Xenopus tropicalis: one gene and its partners. The protein of the gene in region 1 purifies or fractionates together with the protein of each later gene. This does not show direct contact. Links are inferred from orthologs where the notes say so. Each region holds a gene or a part of one and is shown on either strand. Other genes may lie near its edges.

Region 1 (6,388 bases):
TGTGGGAGTAAAAGGCAGAACTCTGCCCATTCATTGGCTGATGGGGCCTAGCAAGTAGGTGTGCCTCGGCTTGTTAGTGTGCACTGTGACTCCTATGATTCATATGATCCCTGGATAAACTTGTACTTGTAGCCTACCCCTGTATTCCCTCACTTGTACTGAGAGCTATCCCCCCTACCCCTGTATTCCCTCACTTGTACTGAGAGCTATCTCCCCTACCCCTGTATTCCCTCACTTGTACTGAGAGCTATCTCCCCTACCCCTGTATTCCCTCACTTGTACTGAGAGCTATCTCCCCTACCCCTGTATTCCCTCACTTGTACTGAGAGCTATCTCCCCTACCCCTGTATTCCCTCACTTGTACTGAGAGCTATCCCCCCTACCCCTGTATTCCCTCACTTGTACTGAGAGCTATCCCCCCTACCCCTGTATTCCCTCACTTGTACTGAGAGCTATCCCCCATAACCCTGTATTCCTTCACTTGTACTGAGAGCTATCCCCCATAACCCTGTATTCCCTCACTTGCTAAACAGTTATAAAGGAATCAAACAAAAGGAATAAAGGAATCAAACGAGGATAAAGAACCTGATTAAAGTCAGGGTCAGTCTCCCCATCTGCTCTGGGTTCATCTTTCTCATCCTCCAGGTCAGAACTGCTGACGTTCAGCTCCGGCGCCACCTCCTTCATTACCTGCAGTACAGATGGGAGCGGGTCAGCACCTGTGAGAGTACGGGCCTGTAACGTGGCACCGGCTATAACAAAGCCTCACCTTCTTCCGATCCACAACTTTGTGAATGTAGATTGTGGCCTGAGCGTATTCCCGCAGATCCCTCTGCTGCTGGCACAGCAATCCTTCCCTACAGTCTGGGCACAGCTCTGCCACAAAGCAACCCAGAGAGAGCGAGTGAGAACTAAGCAAGCAATGGGATATCCTACTGTTATTTAGGGCTCAATAGGCGCACATTGGAAATATCAGTGTATTTCACAAACCTGTTAACATTGCCATTAGCTAACCCTATTTGGGATGAAACATGTGACCTATTTAAATTCTCAAAAATAAAATGTCTACCTGTATAAATCCATTACATGCACAGGTACAGAGCTCTAATGTTATGTACTGATTCTCCTCAGCTGCTCTCTTTCCTATGGTCAGACAGGAACCTACCCATGGGTAAGTACACCTGGAAATGTTAAAGGGTACACTGGATTCACTTACCCAGGGGGAGGTTCCTGTCTGACCATGGGAAAGAGAGCAGCCCAGGATCAGGAAGTACAGAGAATCAGAGCTCTGTACCTGGGTAAGTACTGGGGGGAGATTGGATGCACTTACCCAGGGGGAGGTTCCTGTCTGACCATGGGAAAGAGAGCAGCCCAGGAGCAGGAAGTACAGAGAATCAGAGCTCTGTACCTGGGTAAGTACTGGGGGGAGATTGGATTCACTTACCCAGGGGGAGGTTCCTGTCTGACCATGGGAAAGAGAGCAGCCCAGGATCAGGAAGTACTAAGAATCAGAGCTCTGTACCTGGGTAAGTACTAGGGGCAGAGTAAATTTACACAGCAGGAGAGCAGGTGTATAACACAAAAGGTTAATCTGGGATTATGAAGACAACAAAACATTGTGCTGTGCAATATTATAACATGTTACTGAGGAATCAGCAAATAGCTTACCAATACAGAGAAGGGTTAAGACTCAATAAAGTCCCACTTACTGGGGTCTGATTCATAGTCGACAGTAAATGTCCTGTCCTCCCTGGTTACAACCGTTCGGCTGATTTTGATTGTGTGGTCGACAATAAAGAGTTTCTGGATAGCGTCCCATTCTGCAGGCCATATGGGAGCTATACTGTGCAGAAGAAAGGCACAAGAAATGCCCATTAAACTGTGGCCAAAATCTGGCATAATGGGTGTGGCCAAGCAACGCAGTTGGCGGTGTGGCATGAAAATATAGCAATGACGAAAAGACTCACAGTTTGGCGTCCTCCTTAGTCATGTTGGTAAAGGAGATCATGAGACCCCCATGGGGGCAGAGAAGTAGACTGTTCCCTATAGACATGACTGGGTTGCTTTTTGTGGGTCGCCTACATTAGAGCAGAAATAAAGAAATCATTGAATATAAAAGGCAAGGTGGCTGACAGGAGTAACAGGGGGGTCAGAATGGATGGGGGCAGATAAGCAAGTTACCTAATGAACTTTCTCCATTCTTCCACAAAGAACTGAGACACAACGAAGAACTCGGCCGTATCCTACGGGAAATTGGGAGACACTGTAACAAGACTTTCCATTTCCACAACATGAGACAATCGTTAAACAAGGAATGTGGGGCACTCTTCATACACGTATAGCAGGGACTAGCTAGCCTCAAACACTGGCTCACTAGTACTGAGGCCAATGGGAATGGGACAGAGGGCAATACCTGAGGCCAGCTCCCCAGTAATGGTCTGTTCTTGTCTTGAAACAGGTTGGGAAGTGCCGTCTTCTGGTCATTTGCCATCATCTTATGCAGAGCTTCGTGCCTCTCCCCTTCCTGTTCCAGAACCTAGAGAGACAGAGGTGTTACCGACAAACAGAACACAGGCCCCTTGGTAATACAAGTGATTCTTTCTATGACGGAAAGGAACAAAAGTATAAAGGCTGCTGTGTATGTGGGGGTCTCCTGAGCAAATTGGGGGTACCAGCTGCACATACACATCCCTGCAAACACAAACCTTGCACTGGGAGCAGGACTCCTGGCTGTGCCGGAACTCAGGCGCCGTAGGAAAATACTCCTTCAGCTTGTACCAGGCTGCTTCAGAGATCAGCCTCCTCTCACTCTCCGAAATGCTCAGACCCCCTGCGATACACAAACGTATTGGTAACTGCCTCAGCCAAGTGAAACAAAGTCAGATATATAGGAGAAAAAGTCTCTTTTTAAAACTTGAAAATATCTAGTTTTTTCCCTATACCATATATATTTTCAAGGGGAAGTTAATCCCATCATTGTTTTCTATTTCACACCTTTTCAAGGAGAAGTTAATTCCATTTGTTTAAACTTGAATTTTTCAAGTTATAACAATACTTTCAGCTTGAAAAATGTGTGATTTACGAACGTAAACTCGAAATTTTCATCCGACCAATAGCAGCGTTATCATGACATTTGATAAATGCAACAACAATCAAGTTTAATTCAAATTTATACCATGTTGAGTGTATATGACTTTCAAGGTCAGAAAAAAACAATTTAGTAAATCAGCCCCATAATGTAGTTAGGTGAAATATCCCTGCAGAGAGGGGAAGGGAAATGCAAAATGGATTCAACTGTTACATTAGGGATAAAGGGAAACTATAGCAACAGATCGAAAAATGTTTTGGAAATGCTTGGGACACAAGTGTGTAATATATTCTATAGAAACCTGAAACGTATAAATCTGAGTCTAAACACATGTGCGGTACCCACCGTGCTGACAAATAATATCTTCGTTAAACCCAAGCTCAGAATCCGCTTCCTTCTTTTCCTCATCTATCCCCTCTATAGGGAAACAAGAGAAAGGAGTTCATAAGGAGGAGTCATAACAACAATAATAATAATAATAATAATAATATGAGCGTTGCCCCTACCCTCGCAGGCCTTTGGGGATTCTCCATTTACTTTCCAATCGCCCTGGGCTAAGTCCTCTTCCTGCTGGTCAAGCTGCTCGGTTGCCAACTGACGCCAGCGGCGCAGTGAGCTTTTTCCAATCCAGAAGCCTTCATTGCTGGAAACATTATTTGAAGTCATGAATTAATCACTTTCTTGTAGTTAGGGGTCACCATTCACTGTAATAACAAGAATTCTACTGATGCAGAGTGGATTCCCTTACCCAGGGGGAGGTTCCTAATAAGATCTGCCTTGCATTTTAGTGCTAACGATAAGACAGGTTAGGCAAAGGAATGAATATATTACCTCTCCACTGGAAGCTTAACCATATTAGTTAACGATTTGTAATCTTCATTCAGTTGGTTCTTCAAGCGCAGAACCCTGCATCTTTCTACCACACAGTCCTTGCAGAGAGCATCATCTAGAAAGGGGGGTAAAAGATACATTGTCGGGGGGTAAGCACCAAGCAGACTGGTTAGCAATCCTAATCAGTATTGTGGAAGTTGAAATCCACTTGCCCCATGGATTAGCCCCTTACAATCTTCTCTGGGGTGAATATAACAATCCCTATTACTTATCTCTTATTCTATTTTCTGCTCCTGCACTGCTGTCCCTCCCAATATCAGCAAGAGGGGCAGGGAACCAGCGTCAGACTGGGCCACCGGGGTACCGAGAAAAAACCCAGTGGGCCCTGGCGGCCCAGATCCAGTACCCCCCCAGGGCGTTCCCGCGATCCATCATCCCCCTCCCCCGAAGCGCCGCAGGTAAGATTCTTTTAGGAGCGTCCAGGGGAGGGGGTCGGAAGGTGTTGGGAGCCTCTGTGGGGGGAGGGGGGGCGGTGAAGGCGGCGGGGCCATTGGGGGGGTGCAGGGGTCCCTGAGACAGAGGCCCCGGTGGGCCCTGCACCTCCCAGTCCGACCCTGCAGGGAACAGGTTGGAAGGGCTAGCTAGAGTTTACCCTTTGTACTTTACCCTACCCCTGAAATTAGTTTAGTGGGGATGGTTCCACATGGGGCTTATAAACTGGGCCCAATGGATTCTTTTTTTTAAAAATGTTATTTGTTTTACAAAAGTCAAACAAGAAAACAAAAAATGAGAACATGAAAGTTGCTATACCGTTTGTTACAATAAATCAATAACAATGTATTGCGGTGCCGTCATTACCCAATGGATTTTCTCACTGGTTCCTGGGGATACCCCAGCTGTGCTTACCAGTCAGGCGAGGGCTGCCCCCATACCGCTTGTAGAAGATATCTGCTGCGTGCTGAGAAATTCTCTTCATGAGGGAGATCTTATCGGGGTGCAGCTTCCCATGGGAACACAGACACTTGGAGTTGTCAATGGGTTTGGTTGGAGTGGACTCATCCAGCCATTTCTGGAGCCACTCGAGGGGCACAAACTCGTAGGCACTGTCTGGAAGAAGCAGAGAATGACAGAGAGAGAAGATGTAGCTATGCAGGAACAACACGCTTCTAACAAACGCAGGTTACACACCTATTAGTAGGCACATTTAAAGGGATACTATCATCACACTGAATAATAATATAAATATAAATATAATAAATCATTTCATTTTAACATCAGTAGTGCTGTTTTCTCTAAACAATGTAATATATATTTATTATTCTATCATCCTCTCTCACTTGGTAAATCACAAGCATCTCCAGACAGCAGCTCTGTAAACGCTGTCAAATTTTTTTTTTAATACCAGAAATATATCCCTCCCTTAGAATTCGATGACAGTATACCTTTAATTAAAATGTTTTATTTAATTCATTACAGCAAATGTCACAGGTTTTTAAATCACAACTTTTTGCAGTATACATCAACACAAAATAAGCATTCTACTGGCATATATTTCTGTGTGTCTGTGGCAGATTAGATTTAATTCCCACAGTGCCTGGGATAGAGGAAAACCGTCTCTATAAAGCTCTGTTACCCACTATACAGCCCCACAATACAGTTACCTCGTATAAGAGCAAAGGGCCCATATAACAGTTACCCCACATACAGGCTGTAGCACTGCGCTATAAACAGACCCCAGCCCCAAACCATAGTTATTTACTAATTGCAGTCCCATACAAAAGTTACAGTATGTAACAGCTACAGCCATGTTACCCTACATACAGGCCACAACCCCAAGATACAGTTACGCCATATACAGGCTACAGCTCTAAGTTACATATTTACCCCATTTTACAGACCAGAGCCCCAAATTAGTGAGGACTCAACCATTAGAGTTACCCCTATAGCCATATATAGGCTGCAGTACCGCCTAAAAGCTCCCTTATACAGGCCACAGACGTTACACAATTACCCCACATACCAGCTGCAGTCCCAGCTACCCCATGTAAAGTCCCACATAACCATTACCCCATATAAAGCTTGCAGAGCCACAGGACACTTATTATAAAGACAACAGCCCCAACATTATTCTTTATACAGGGCACTGCCCTAAGTTACACACTTACCCCATATACAGTACATAGCCCCTTGTTATCCAACATACAGGCACTGCCCTAAATTACACACTTACCCCATATACAGTATATATACCCCTTGTTATCCAACATACAGGCACTGCCCTAAGTTACACACTTACCCCATATACAGTACATAGCCCCTTGTTATCCAACATACAGGCACTGCCCTAAGTTACACACTTACCCCATATACAGTATATATACCCCTTGTTATCCAACATACAGGCACTGCCCTAAGTTACACACTTACCCCATATACAGTACATAGCCCCTTGTTATCCAACATACAGGG
Region 2 (6,388 bases), on another chromosome or scaffold:
GGATTACTGCAGTTTAGTTATCATCAAGTACAAGGTAAAGTGTAATGCCAGAGTTGTTATTTGGGCTGCTGTAACCAGGATTGCTTTGCTTCTAGAGCCAAATAGCACAAAAATACCGGCACAACAGGACTTGTTTAAAGGAACAGTAACACCAAAAAATGTATATATTTCAAAGAAATTAAACTATAATGTACTGCTGCCCTGCGCTGGTAAAAGTTTTGTGTTTACTTTAGAAACATTACTAGAGCTTATATAAACCCTGGTGTGTAGCCAAGGGGGCAGCCATTCAAAAGAAGAAAAGGCACTGGTTATATAGCAGCTAACAGATAAACCCTGTAGAATACAATGGTGTCTTATCTGTTATCTGCTATGGAACCTCTGCCTTTTCTCCTTTTTTCCAGCTTGAATGGCTGCCCCCATGGCTACACAGCAGCTTATTTATATAAACTATAGTAGTGTTCCTGAAGCAAACACCCCAGTTTTACCAGTGCAGGGCAACAGTACATTATATTTCAATTACTTTAAAACACTTGAATTTTTTGGTGTTACTGTTCCTTTAAGCAGGATAAACCCTGCTTATTTTTAATAGTAGCAAACCATGTACATGGTTTGCTACTATTAAAAATCAGCAGGGTTTATCCCACTTAAACAAGTCCTGTTGTGCCGGTATTTTTGTGCTATTTGGATCGTGGTGGAGAGTGCCGAAGTCTCTCTAAATACTGTGCACCAGGTGGAACAGAGTGGAAAGGCCAGGGTGTGCTGGTGAGCGTGGTTTGATTTACTTCTAGAGCTCCATCCTCGGGGCAATGGGTGCTGGGATTGGCATTACTGCATGACAGAATTTGGTGACTCTCCGTATCACTTGATCTTTGGAGAAAAAAAAAAACATATCACCACATTAAACAGGTGGTTCACATTTAAAGTGTTGGACTGGCCCACAGGGATAACAGGAAAATTCCCGGTTGGCCCACTGGGCAAATGGCTGCTTCTAGCGATTTGGCCTAATTCAGGTCCATTGCTTATTTTTCTATGGGAACAAAGCAACTAAATATATAGAAGAATAGATTATAGTATATAAAGATAAAAAAAAACTAGGAAAATATAGAGATTGAGTAAGAAGTGGAAAAAAATTGTTTGGAGAGTAGGCCTATGGTCTAAGGTTTTCTAGTGGGTCCCTGGCATCCCAGTCCAACACTGTAAATTTACATTAACTTTTAGTATGTTATAGGATGTTTATTCCTAGAAACTTTTCAGTTGGTCTCCATTATTTTTCATAGTTTAATGATTTGCATTCCTCTCCCTCTTTCCAGCTTTCAAATGGGGGCCACTGACCCGAAAGCCAAAAGCTATTGCCCTCTGAGACTATAATTTTATTGTTTTATTATTTGTCTTCCTATTAAGACCCTTTCCTTTTTCGTATTCCAGTCTTTCATTCAAACTACTGCCTGGTTGCTGGGGATTCTAGCAACCAGATAGCTGCTTAAATGCCAAACTGGAGACCTGCTGGGAAAAAAATTAAGAACAAATGCAGATTGTCTCAGCGTATCAATGTCTACAGCAAACTAAAAGTTAATTTAAAAGGTGAACTACCCCTTTCTTATTTTGTAGAGTGAACTTTTGCAACAATAACCGCTTTAAGCCATTTAAAGGTAATATGTTCCACTGTATTTATTGTGCATTGTTAAAGTAGCCTTACACTACTTATTTGGCGAGGTCGCCAAGCGAGCAGATCTTTTCCTGATATGCCATCCCTAGGGCCAACAATCGAATTGCAATAGCAGACATAGACGCCTTCTGATCGGAGACCGCATCAACGAGCCGATGTGCTCCCTGATCTGACAGAAAATCAAGCCTGCCTGATCGAGATCTGCCCAATTTGAGGCCAGATATCCATCGGGTAGGCATCGGGGTGCAGATAAGCTGCCGAACCGGTTTGGACCAGAATCGGCAGCTGAAATCGGCCTGTGTATGGCCCCCTTTAGACTTCACTTGCAAACAGTGTGCAAAGCTCATAAATACTCACTTGAAAAGACACATTGCTATTCAGACATTTAAACAATTTGTACAGATGAATACAAATCCTGCAATAAGTGTATTATCTGTGATTTAGATGTTTTAACGTGACTTTACAAAATATTTGTATGCAAACAGCATTCAGCCCCCCCCCCTTTTGAGCACTAACAGTGTTATGTGTTTTGAGTTCCAATGCATACCGGCTTTACACACAATTTAGGTGTAATTTTTGGTGTCACATTTTTTCTGGCACATGTTCTCTGTTATTCAGGTCAGATGACACTTGTGTTTCAGTTAATTAGTCTGAGAGATACTCAGCTGGCATGACCTGGCATAGCTCGTTTGCATAATGGCTTCTTTTGTGCCACCCTACTTTAAAGGAAAGTGTTTATGCAAAACACTTAATATCGCTGATGCAGACCTACAGTGAAGTGAGGTGGCGATGCATAATGCTGTTGGACTGCTTCTTATTCTGCACATCTAGTTAAAACAGAAGGAAGCAGAAAGTGTAATTATATCCTATGGGAGGCTTCCAAAATCATGCATTGAAGGTTGAAAGTCAAAGTTTTTTGCGGCGTTTATGATCGTTCGGATACGAAAATTTCAGAACTTTCGGATTGCGCCACGATATTTGCGTACAAACACAATAGGAATTTTCTCACAATTAACACACATCCAAAATTATTGTATTTATTCCGAATTTTTGCCAATCATACTTTTAATTAGCCGAAATTCGGACTTTGATAAATCTGCCCCTGAGTGAAAAAAAGACCCCTGTCCCTTTTAAAGGAGTGGTTCACCTATAAGTAAACTTTTAGTATGTTATAGAATGGCCAATTATAGTTTTTGAACAATTTGCAGCTTTTAAATGGGGGTCACTGACCCTGTGAGGCTACAATTTTACTGTTACTTTTTATAACTTTTTTTTCTATTCAGGTCCTTTCCTATTCATGTACCAGTCTCTCCTTCAAACCACTCCCTGGTTGCTATATAATTTGGACCCTAGCAACCAGATAGCTGCTGAAACTCCAAACTGAAGAGCTGCTAAACAAAAAGCGAAATGACTAAAAAGAACACCGTTTTATTGCAGGATTTGTTGTTCATTAAATGAACAAATTGTTTCAGTGTCTGAATAGCCATTGTTGTCAGATAATGTATGTTTTTTCATTTTCTGCTGTAAGACACACTGGCATAGTTGGTAATGGCCTACAAGATAGCGGTCAACTTATGGGCTCTGTTTGACTTAACTGATGGCTGTACTTTCATAGCTCTTTACCCAGCTGTTTATTAAGGGAAGTGAAAAATTTTTTAGCCTTATTGATCATTCTAATCATCACTTTACCATCATCATAGTATTTGATTTGTTCATTCATGGTTTTTGTCATTTGCACATTTATTTTATTTATTTTTTTATTGTCTGATTGATTCCTTCCATTCTTTATGGTCATTTTAGATAAACCATTACCAGGGCTCAGCGCGTATTCGAATATCCCTAGTTACTAAGGATTCTCCACACAAACCTCACCCTCATGAGTTGGTAGGAAAGGACTGTAAGGATGGATATTATGAAGCTGAACTTTCCCCAGATCGTAGTATTCACAGGTAATGATTGGTTTGGTTACACTTCTGTTCAAAGGAATTGTCAGCCCCAAAAATAACTTTTTGCTTAATTAAACAAAACTTAATTCTAAGCAATATACATTCATTACTTCATTCATTCATTATTTTTTTTAGTTATTTGTATATATAATTGCTATTAAAAGCAGTGTCTACCTGTCCTCTCTAGTCTCTGCCCTGGTGGCTCTGGCACTTGAAGCAATGTAACACAAGGCAGCAGACTGACAGACCTTGTCATGATATAGGCCTGTAAGGGTTAATCAAGCAGGCCAAGGTATCCCAAAATCTTCCAGAAATGTGCCAGAAAGAGATATATAACAGGCCTCTGGTCACTAGGGTCTGGAACCAGCCATGTGTAAAGGCCTCGCATCCTGAAATGCCCAACTCTAATCCCTGGCTGATAAGAGCCATGCCATGTGGGGGAGTGAAAGCCCACGTGGGGGTGACTTAGAGTTCACATTGGGACCCATCATAGGTGATGTGGAGGTCACACCATAACCCAAACTCACAAACATTTATTGTCCCAGAACCCATACTATTTATACTAGAGGTACCAAAACCTGAGTATATGTTTCATTTAAGATGGCCTTTCATACGGGTCCAAACATCACTGGATTTGGGCACTTGGTTTGTCAGATAGGAGTATCTGGGCAGGGGCAGGTCACACAGTGGTGATGTTTAGTCTGTATGGGACCGGTGGGATCATTAAGAATTGATGAATCTAATTTCATCATGTTCCCACAAGGAGTTATGGACATTGGTATCATTGGACAAGTCCCATACACTCAGTCCATACACAGGAGGCCATAAAACTCACACTGTGTCCTGCTAATGGTGACACCCCTTGCATTCCTGAGGGAGGGGGGAGTGTCCAGTTACCTGATCCCCCTGCAAACTGGGATAAATAGTCAGCTCTTCTGAAGATATTATGTGGAGGACCAATTTCTATTGGAAGTTTATCCTGTGGTTTCCCCTTGCCTCCAGGACTAGAAGGACTTTGCTTGGTATAGTATAGGACTTCTATATTTTTCCCTTTTTATTTTAAAACTGTTTGTACTTGTTTTATCGTATGTCCTTTGTTGTAACATCTTGTTTTAAACTTGCACTGTTATACTTTTTATAATATTAAATATAAAATTTAATAAGTTTGTCCTTGATGCTCTAAAACGTACCTAACCTCCGAGTGTGTAACTGTGTTGTGTGCCTTAGCCCTCTGTATGCTGTGTGCTGATTAACCCTTTGACTGCTGGTAAGGAGAGTGTGTGTGTCGGTTCTTTACATTAACCCTTTCTCTACCAGTGTGCTTGGCATCTCTCATCGCCAGTGTAAGAAGTATGAAAGTGGTGGCAGCAAGTTGTGTATGAGTTTGTGAGCGTTGGTTGGTCTTTGGGGTGCTGTGATGCTAGTCTGACCTGTGTGTCAGGTGTGTGAGACTGAGCAAGGGACCCTCTAGACAGCCACGCCTACAGTCACGTGCATCTGAAGTGGCGTAATCGTGACAGACCTGCCTTGCTGGAGGAGCCTGGCACATGCAATTTTGTTAAAAAGTAACAACCAGGATTTCGGCAAATGCTGCTTTCAATAGCAATTACGTTTACACAACTTTTAAAGTAGTAATAATTTTTAACGAATTGATATTGGAAAGTTGCTTAGAATTATGTTTCTAATTTATTAGGCAAAAACATTTTTTGGGGGTTGACGTCCTTTAAGATTAAAAAAAAAAAAATGCTCTTTAGTAGTAATGTCTCTTAAAACATCAGCATTCTCTAAAATGTTATTATTATTGTTCCTACGCCAGGTTAGTACCGCTTTTGGTGTGTGTCTAAAACAGGGGTTCACAGACTTTACAAGTGTATGGTTCTATTTTGTATGCTTCATCTCTGTGATCTAGTGGCCATCAGCTCAAGATCTACATTTTGGGCATCCGTGCTTAAGGCTATTGCCACACAGGGTTGAATCTCGCCCTGCAGATAAACACGCTACATCAGCCTTTCCCTGTACCTGCACCTGGAATCATTGCATCAGCCTGGGTGCAGGCACAGAGAGCAGATTTTGGTACAGGTTTGGGACCTGTTTTCCAGAATGCTCGGGACCTGGGGTTTTCCGGATAAGGGATCTTTCCATAATTTGGATCTCCATAACTTAAGTTTGCTAAAAATCATTAAAATAGTGATTAACCCCATTAGGATTGTTTTGGCTCCAATAAGGATTAATTAGATCTTAGTTGGGATCAAGTACAAGTACTGTTTTATTATTACAGGGAAAAGGGAATCATTTAACCATTAAATAAACCCAATAGGGCTGTTCTGCCCCCAATAAGGATTAATTATATCTTAGTTGAGATCAAGTACAAGGTACTGTTTTATTATTACAGAGAAAAGGGAATCATTTAACCATTAAATAAACCCAATAGGGCTGTTCTGCCCCCAATAAGGGGTAATTATATCTTAGTTGGGATCAAGTACAGGTTCTGTTTTATTATTACTACAGAGAAAAAGGAAATCATTTTTAAAAATTAGCATTATTTTCTTAGAGTTTATGGGAGATGGCCTTTCCGTAATTCAGAACTTTCATAACAGGTTTCCAGATAAGGGATCCCATACCTGTACAACAATACTTACATACTTTTATCCGCGAGCTACAATTTACGATAATGTGTGACATTAGCCTAAAGCTGGCCATACACGTGGCGATCCGACGATGTTTCGTACGACCATCGGTCGCACGAAACATCGTCAGATCCGCCACACACCATTCA
Region 3 (6,388 bases), on another chromosome or scaffold:
TATTTATATGGCACTTCTTCTGTACAAAATATTAAAATATACAGTATATATAAATGAGTAAGTACTGATTGAATCTTTTTGCATCTACTTCAGTAAACAAACAGGCAAAATTGCTGTACCACAGAACTTACTGGGGGTAGAAAGGTGAAACTGTTCCCAAAGATAAAGTGATCAAGTCTTTTAATGGCAAAGCAAAGTAATAATATGACATTAAGGGGAAAGCATACTAATTAAAGAGAACATGTTTTTGCACCTGTTTTTGTCATGGATAGGCTAAATAGTATTCTCCAGTTTTGTATGTCCAAATGAATATGTTCTACCAGTGAATGAATGGATGCAACATGCAGGGATATAACTAAAACAATCATACTAGAATAATCCTGAGGAAAAATAAATAACTAACAAACTAAGAACACTGACTATCTCATGCCCTTTCAAGTCTCATGTTTTCCCAAGGAAACAAATACTAGTGGTTGATGGAAGAGCAGATAGGGCCATACACATACAGAACTGACAAAACAGGAAAACAAATGTAATGATTTACTCCACTATCCATTACATTTTTAAAAGAAATTAAATCTACCTGTCAATGTATCTTCTTGCCTCTACATTGTCCAAAGCAGTCACTATAATATCCTGTCTGGTGCAGAACTCATCATCAAAAATGTTCTCAGTTGCAGGGCAGACCTTGTCTAACCGCGGATCAATTTTTAATTGTGGGTTGATGTTGAGGGTTGCAGCAGAAGCAGTATAGCTTTTAGGTTTCTGAAAAGAGAGCAAGATGTGACATACTAATATTTGTAAAATAACCCTATTAATATAGCGGGTGCAATTTTTTTGAAGAAAACGGATGAAACAATAAACTCAGCATGGAATAGAGCAAACAGCCATCTGTAAACAAGACATGAATGGCACTGGCAACTTCCCCAGTGCAGGGCAACAGTACATGTTAATTACTTTAAAAAACATTCATTTTTTGGTGTTACTGTTCCTTTACTAATCAATAGAAGGTAAGCTGTAAACATAAGGGAAGGATAGGTCACAGGATACTGAAACCTAACGTACAATGTCTGGAGTTGAAATATACCTGAATGTGTTTGGGTCGGAAGAGAAACTGCCTGTTCAGGTTAGATTTTTCAATTAAGTCAGGGTCTGTTACTGTAATCTGTTTAAAAAGAAAGACAATGTAAGTTATGTAAGGAGAGCTTGGGCAATGGCACAAGGAAAGATTTAGGACATTGCCAGTCAACTGCTGAGCTGCAAATGGGTGCACACTAACACACAGTTTTTCATTTTGGCTCATTTGCAACACTGGGTTAATAAATTCCAGTGCAGAAACACATAGCAACCAACATGTTGAAGAGTGATTAGAAGTAAAAAAAAAAAACAAAAAAAAAAAATGCACTTTGCCTCTAGGCTTTGTGCCCACTGCCATCAGACGAAATACTCTGCACTTGCAAAATGGAGTGAAAACAGCTTCTAAAGTTTATATATGCACACTAGATGGGCAGCATGTTTGATCCTTAGCACTACAGCACTTGTACCTAAACCTGAAGCCCTTTAGTCTTAAACATCACATTATAAACTGGAATTAATATTTTAAACATGCACAGCAACAGTGATCATTTCTGCCTGAAATGTATAGGGCTTTATAGTTAACTGCTGGAATAATAATAATCTGTATGTTTTGATCATTTGCCTACAATGAGAGTGTTTTGGGCAACCTGATTAAAGGTAAAATGGTCAGATCTGCATATAAATAAATAACTTACGGTTGAAACTTACCAGCCCACGCTCTGAGCCACTTCCAGCCCCTAAAAGTGCAAAATTCTTCAACATTTCACACCCAATTGCACCGCATCCAACCTATGGAATATATGAATACAACTGCAAATTGAGTACAATAGTTATTTAACACTTTTCTGTTTAATATGATAAGCTCTCCATTGTAAAAACATGTATGATATTGTAAGTACAGTTTGAGACATGCCCATTGTTATGTCATGTAAATCTATAGGACCATACAAGGTATATGGAACAATGGGATATTAATAGAACTGTCCCTTTGTCTGACTAATACCATGTTTGTATCTCTGCTCTTAAATAAATATTTAAACTAGAACTTACACATAAGGATTAACACACTCCTATATAGAAGGAAATATGCAAGTCCCACCAACACACAGAAAAATGGTTGTATGGTAATTGAACAGGCTATGGAAGCAACCCTGCTGGTGAATTCATAAAGAATTACTACTCCAAATATAACAACCCAAAACAGCTTTCAGAAAAGATACTCACCAGGAACACATTTATGTTGTGAATCTTCTTGCAAAATGTGTCTCCTATGCAAGCCCTTAAGGCATCATATCTGTCTCCTCTATAAGAATTTGAGGGGATAGAATTTACTGTATGGTAAGTCGTAAAAAAGAAGGAATATACTGTATGATTTAATGATTTAAAGCAAAAAGGAAGGGTATTTGTGGACATTTTATTGTCTTTGTGTGAGGGACAAATTGTGTGGCCTTTGAGAATATAGATAACACTGGCTAATATAACTGGCTACATTAGAAATATATTACTAGATTCCATTACAATTGTCACTGAAGTCACCGTCCTTTCTGCCAAAGAAATGATGGGCTATATCAGTACAGGTATGGGACCTGTTATCTAGAATGCTTAGGACCTGGGGTTTTCCGGATCTTTCCGTAATTTGGATCTCCATACCTTAAATCTACTAAAAAGTCATTTAAAGATTAAATAAACCCAAAAGGATTGTTTTGCCTCCAATAAAGATTAATTATATTTTAGTACAAGGTACTGTTTTATTATTACAGAGAAAAAAGAAAACAATTTTTAAAAATTAGAATTATTTACTTATAATGGAGTCTATGTGAGATGGCCTTTCCGTAATTCAGAACTTTCTGGATAACGGATCCCACACCTGTATCTGAGACCGGTATGAGCGCTCTGTCTGCTTTTTTTCTATTTTTCTGCTAACACACCTGTCCTGCCAGTAATATTTGCCAGCAACAGTAGAAACCATCACAAGGAGCAATTATGATGATTCCCTTTCAGGGAGATTTGTAGTGGTTTGTCTCACTCCCTCAGAACAATAAATCACTGGGTGACCAAAGTTACCAATCTCCCCTTGTGCCATTAGAGAGCTCTCTCACTTCCATACAAACCAGATACACAGACTGATACATAGAATAAAGGCCTTGGCACACAGGAATTTCACTCAAACAAACAGTTGTGATTTAATGGGATCACATGGATGGGGGTCAAAAAGTTGGCTGTGGTGCCCTTAAATGCACTGATTGGCAAATAATAAACCTGAAATTAGTAAAACTGGAAAGTGTATAGTCATGTTTAGTTATAAAACAGAAATCTACATAGCAACGTTTTGATGCATAATAAAATTACATACAAATGCACTAAAAAGTCTAATAGTCCCTACATAACATCAATAAAAGGCTGGAAAAACATTGGCTGTACCTTGGAAGAAATTCATCACGATTTGCTGTTTCCAGGGAGTGAACAATGTCCAAAGCATCAATAAAGAGCTGCAAACAGTCAAAGTAAGAAGCAACTAATTAAATTTGCACTACAATAAAATAAGTTATAGTTAATTTTAGGTATAAGCAACTAAATGCTTGATAGCTGCATCCAGTGCCTTGCAGAATTATTCATCACCTTGAGCAGTTCTCTAATTTTTATCTAGACAGCATAAGAATGGCATTATATTATTGGACTGCTTTTTATCTGCAAGGTCTAAGAATTTTGTTTAAATAGAAGAATTCAGAGTGAAAAAAAATACAGGTAAAATACTGCAAAAGAATTTAACCAGGTCTGTTAAAAACTAATCTTCTGAGAAAGTTCATTTTTCAGCAGGACAACTGTCAAAACACAAGCCCTAAACTAACTTGAACAACATGGAGAATATTTACCAAGAAAAATAGGGCAAAATTACTCCAAACCAAACAGTGTCCAAAGCTTTTGTGTATTAATCCCAAATACTTAAAACTGTTATTGGTGTACAAGGTGGCTCTAAAAATAATAAAATGGGGGATGAAAACAAACAGACTAGTACATTTTTGTCATATTTAAAAAACTAAAATCTGACTTTCAGTGCTTTATAAAGAACATGATTTCAGCATAGGGTGTATTTCACTAAATTTAAAGAACTCATCAAGGAGGTATATTCTTCTGCAAGGCACTGTAACTATGTATTTATGTATAGTCAAAAGCAGCAATACAATTATAGTTTATTATATATGGATATGTGTCCTGACAACAGGTACAAATATTTTTGCATGAAGCTAAATATTACATACTTATTAATTCCGAAAACCATTAAATGCAATGAAGATTAAACAGATATCTGGTAAGGTTTATTTATTAACAGAACACAGCTATAAGAACAAAAAGATTATTTTCAAATAGTAGTTAATGAATAAGACAAATAACTTACCCATTGTTGCAATGGAGAAAATTTTCCTGTCACTGCTTTCAAAACTTCCTGGCTAACAATGCCACCTATTGCAGCTGCAAGTGGCGTTAACAATCCTTGAGCTGTCCAAGACAACCATTTTACCAGGTTCTCATCCAGCAGAGGCTACAAAATCAACAAAACAAAAAGATGGATTTATGGTTAACTGGTGGGCCAATTTATATAAATACAATCAGATGCTAGGGGAAAGCACACATTTAAAGCTTACTATAAAGGTTTAATATAGGTGTCCATTTTAAAAAACTTGTAATCTCATTAGAACTCTAAACTGGGAAGAGAGAATGGTAAGGACATGAGATTTCACCAAACTTGTTTCACCAAACCCTGTGTCCAGTGTATGAGGATTCCAGATGAGGGGATACAAAATAGAACATTTTAATTCTGTACTATCACTGACTGATCAGGTTTGTGAATAGCAAGAAAATAAAAATTCTTTTGGATAATCTTTAGATAAGCATACATAGCCAGGTCACCAAATAGACAGATCTATGGCCAGCCAAGTCTTGGGACAAACCAGGCTGATTAAATTTCTGGCACTCTGGCCAACTATTGGATGACACCAAATACTGTAACTCGTACAGTGGTCAACAGTAGACACACATCCACTGCCTACTTTTCTGTAAACATAGAAAGCAGTTTACCCTCTCTAATACCTACCTTGTTCTTTAAGACTTCAGTTACAGATCTTGCTAACTTCTGCATCTCTTCAGCATCCAGAAGGCACCTGATAAATTAATTAATTTACATTAAGGCATCTAAGGAAAAAATACATTTTGTTTTAAATTAAAGGGGATAACACATTTAAGAAACTCTTTGAAGGGCCTCATTTTCCTATCTGAAAACAAAAATCCCGCTATAAGCCATTTATCTCCACACTAATAATTAATTAAAAAAAAATCAGATCAGTACCCTATATTTGGAAGGCGGTTGTGCTTCTCTTGAAAATAATCTAGTGCCAGCATTGCAGTATGAATATTCAAAGGTGCCTGGAGAAGAAGAAAAATAATTGCTTACAATTAAGTGCAACAAAAACACACAACCTTCCTTTAGGAGTCACAATGACAAAGAACCAAAAAGAAGTGCAAATGAAGTTCTGCTTTTTTTGCATTTACTCCTGCATCCTTGTTTCTTCAGAGCAACTATGATAGAAGTCAGACCTGAGATACAGACACAACAGACTCCAACACATTTCTGATAATAATTATTATTATTAACTATTATTTATAAAGCGCCAACATATTCCGCGGCACTGCCCAATAAGTGGGATTCATACATTGGACATACAGAGTAATATATAAAGCAACCAATAACCGATACAAGAGGTGAAGAGGACCCTGCCCAAAGGGACACAAGGTGTGTGAAACGGCAAGATCAGAATTAAGCAATGTGAGTGGTGTGGTATTGTTTGTAGCAGCCTGCTGAGGTTATGTTAAACAAAATGTTTAACATAAGAGATGTTGCTTAAAATGTTTATTTAAAGTGTCTATATCTTTACAAGGTACAAAGAAAAGGTTTTTTTTCTTTTTTTGTGCCAGCCTGTCAGCTACTGAAGTCCTAGTAGTATCGTTACCGTAAGAGTTCTTAGAGAAAAACATTTATGAGTGATACTGACACTGCATACTGCCACAGAATAGCCTTCTGTTTAACCACTGACCTCTGGTTTACTGAAATCCACAGTGAGGTATGTTGGGTTTTCTAATTGCATTTCCAGTGTTTCCTGGTAGAAAGAAACATAATTTAAGCATTTTTATATGTTATATTTGCACACAAAAAAGTGCACAATATCATTGCTTTTGAATACAAGTATTAAGAGAATATTTAACTTGCTATGAAAAAATGGCCATGGTTACTAGTTATACTTACAAAGGAAAATGT

Evidence for each region. The genes of interacting proteins can lie anywhere in the genome.
Region 2: the proteins of usp48 (region 1) and rela purify together in Homo sapiens (affinity purification with mass spectrometry; 3 studies listed by BioGRID, with this or other methods). This does not show direct contact. The link is inferred for Xenopus tropicalis from reciprocal best matches to the Homo sapiens genes USP48 and RELA.
Region 3: the proteins of usp48 (region 1) and uba6 fractionate together in Homo sapiens (co-fractionation; 3 studies listed by BioGRID, with this or other methods). This does not show direct contact. The link is inferred for Xenopus tropicalis from reciprocal best matches to the Homo sapiens genes USP48 and UBA6.

The regions. Positions count from the first base shown.
Region 1 is NC_030683.2:132,144,850-132,151,237, forward strand, and holds the end of usp48 (ubiquitin carboxyl-terminal hydrolase 48), read right to left. Parts: intron 5,027-6,388; coding exon 4,826-5,026; intron 4,035-4,825; coding exon 3,920-4,034; intron 3,732-3,919; coding exon 3,595-3,731; intron 3,506-3,594; coding exon 3,434-3,505; intron 2,831-3,433; coding exon 2,706-2,830; intron 2,537-2,705; coding exon 2,414-2,536; intron 2,244-2,413; coding exon 2,182-2,243; intron 2,079-2,181; coding exon 1,968-2,078; intron 1,844-1,967; coding exon of another isoform or gene 1,839-1,843; coding exon 1,721-1,838; coding exon of another isoform or gene 1,710-1,720; intron 877-1,709; downstream 1-876.
Region 2 is NC_030680.2:38,473,156-38,479,543, forward strand, and holds part of rela (transcription factor p65), read left to right. Parts: intron 1-3,466; coding exon 3,467-3,615; intron 3,616-6,388. UniProt on the Homo sapiens protein: NF-kappa-B is a pleiotropic transcription factor present in almost all cell types and is the endpoint of a series of signal transduction events that are initiated by a vast array of stimuli related to many biological processes such as inflammation, immunity, differentiation, cell growth, tumorigenesis and apoptosis.
Region 3 is NC_030677.2:82,734,081-82,740,468, reverse strand, and holds part of uba6 (ubiquitin-like modifier-activating enzyme 6), read right to left. Parts: coding exon 6,377-6,388; intron 6,231-6,376; coding exon 6,168-6,230; intron 5,500-6,167; coding exon 5,423-5,499; intron 5,238-5,422; coding exon 5,171-5,237; intron 4,619-5,170; coding exon 4,475-4,618; intron 3,567-4,474; coding exon 3,499-3,566; intron 2,381-3,498; coding exon 2,302-2,380; intron 1,867-2,301; coding exon 1,786-1,866; intron 1,166-1,785; coding exon 1,088-1,165; intron 766-1,087; coding exon 584-765; intron 1-583. UniProt on the Homo sapiens protein: Activates ubiquitin by first adenylating its C-terminal glycine residue with ATP, and thereafter linking this residue to the side chain of a cysteine residue in E1, yielding a ubiquitin-E1 thioester and free AMP.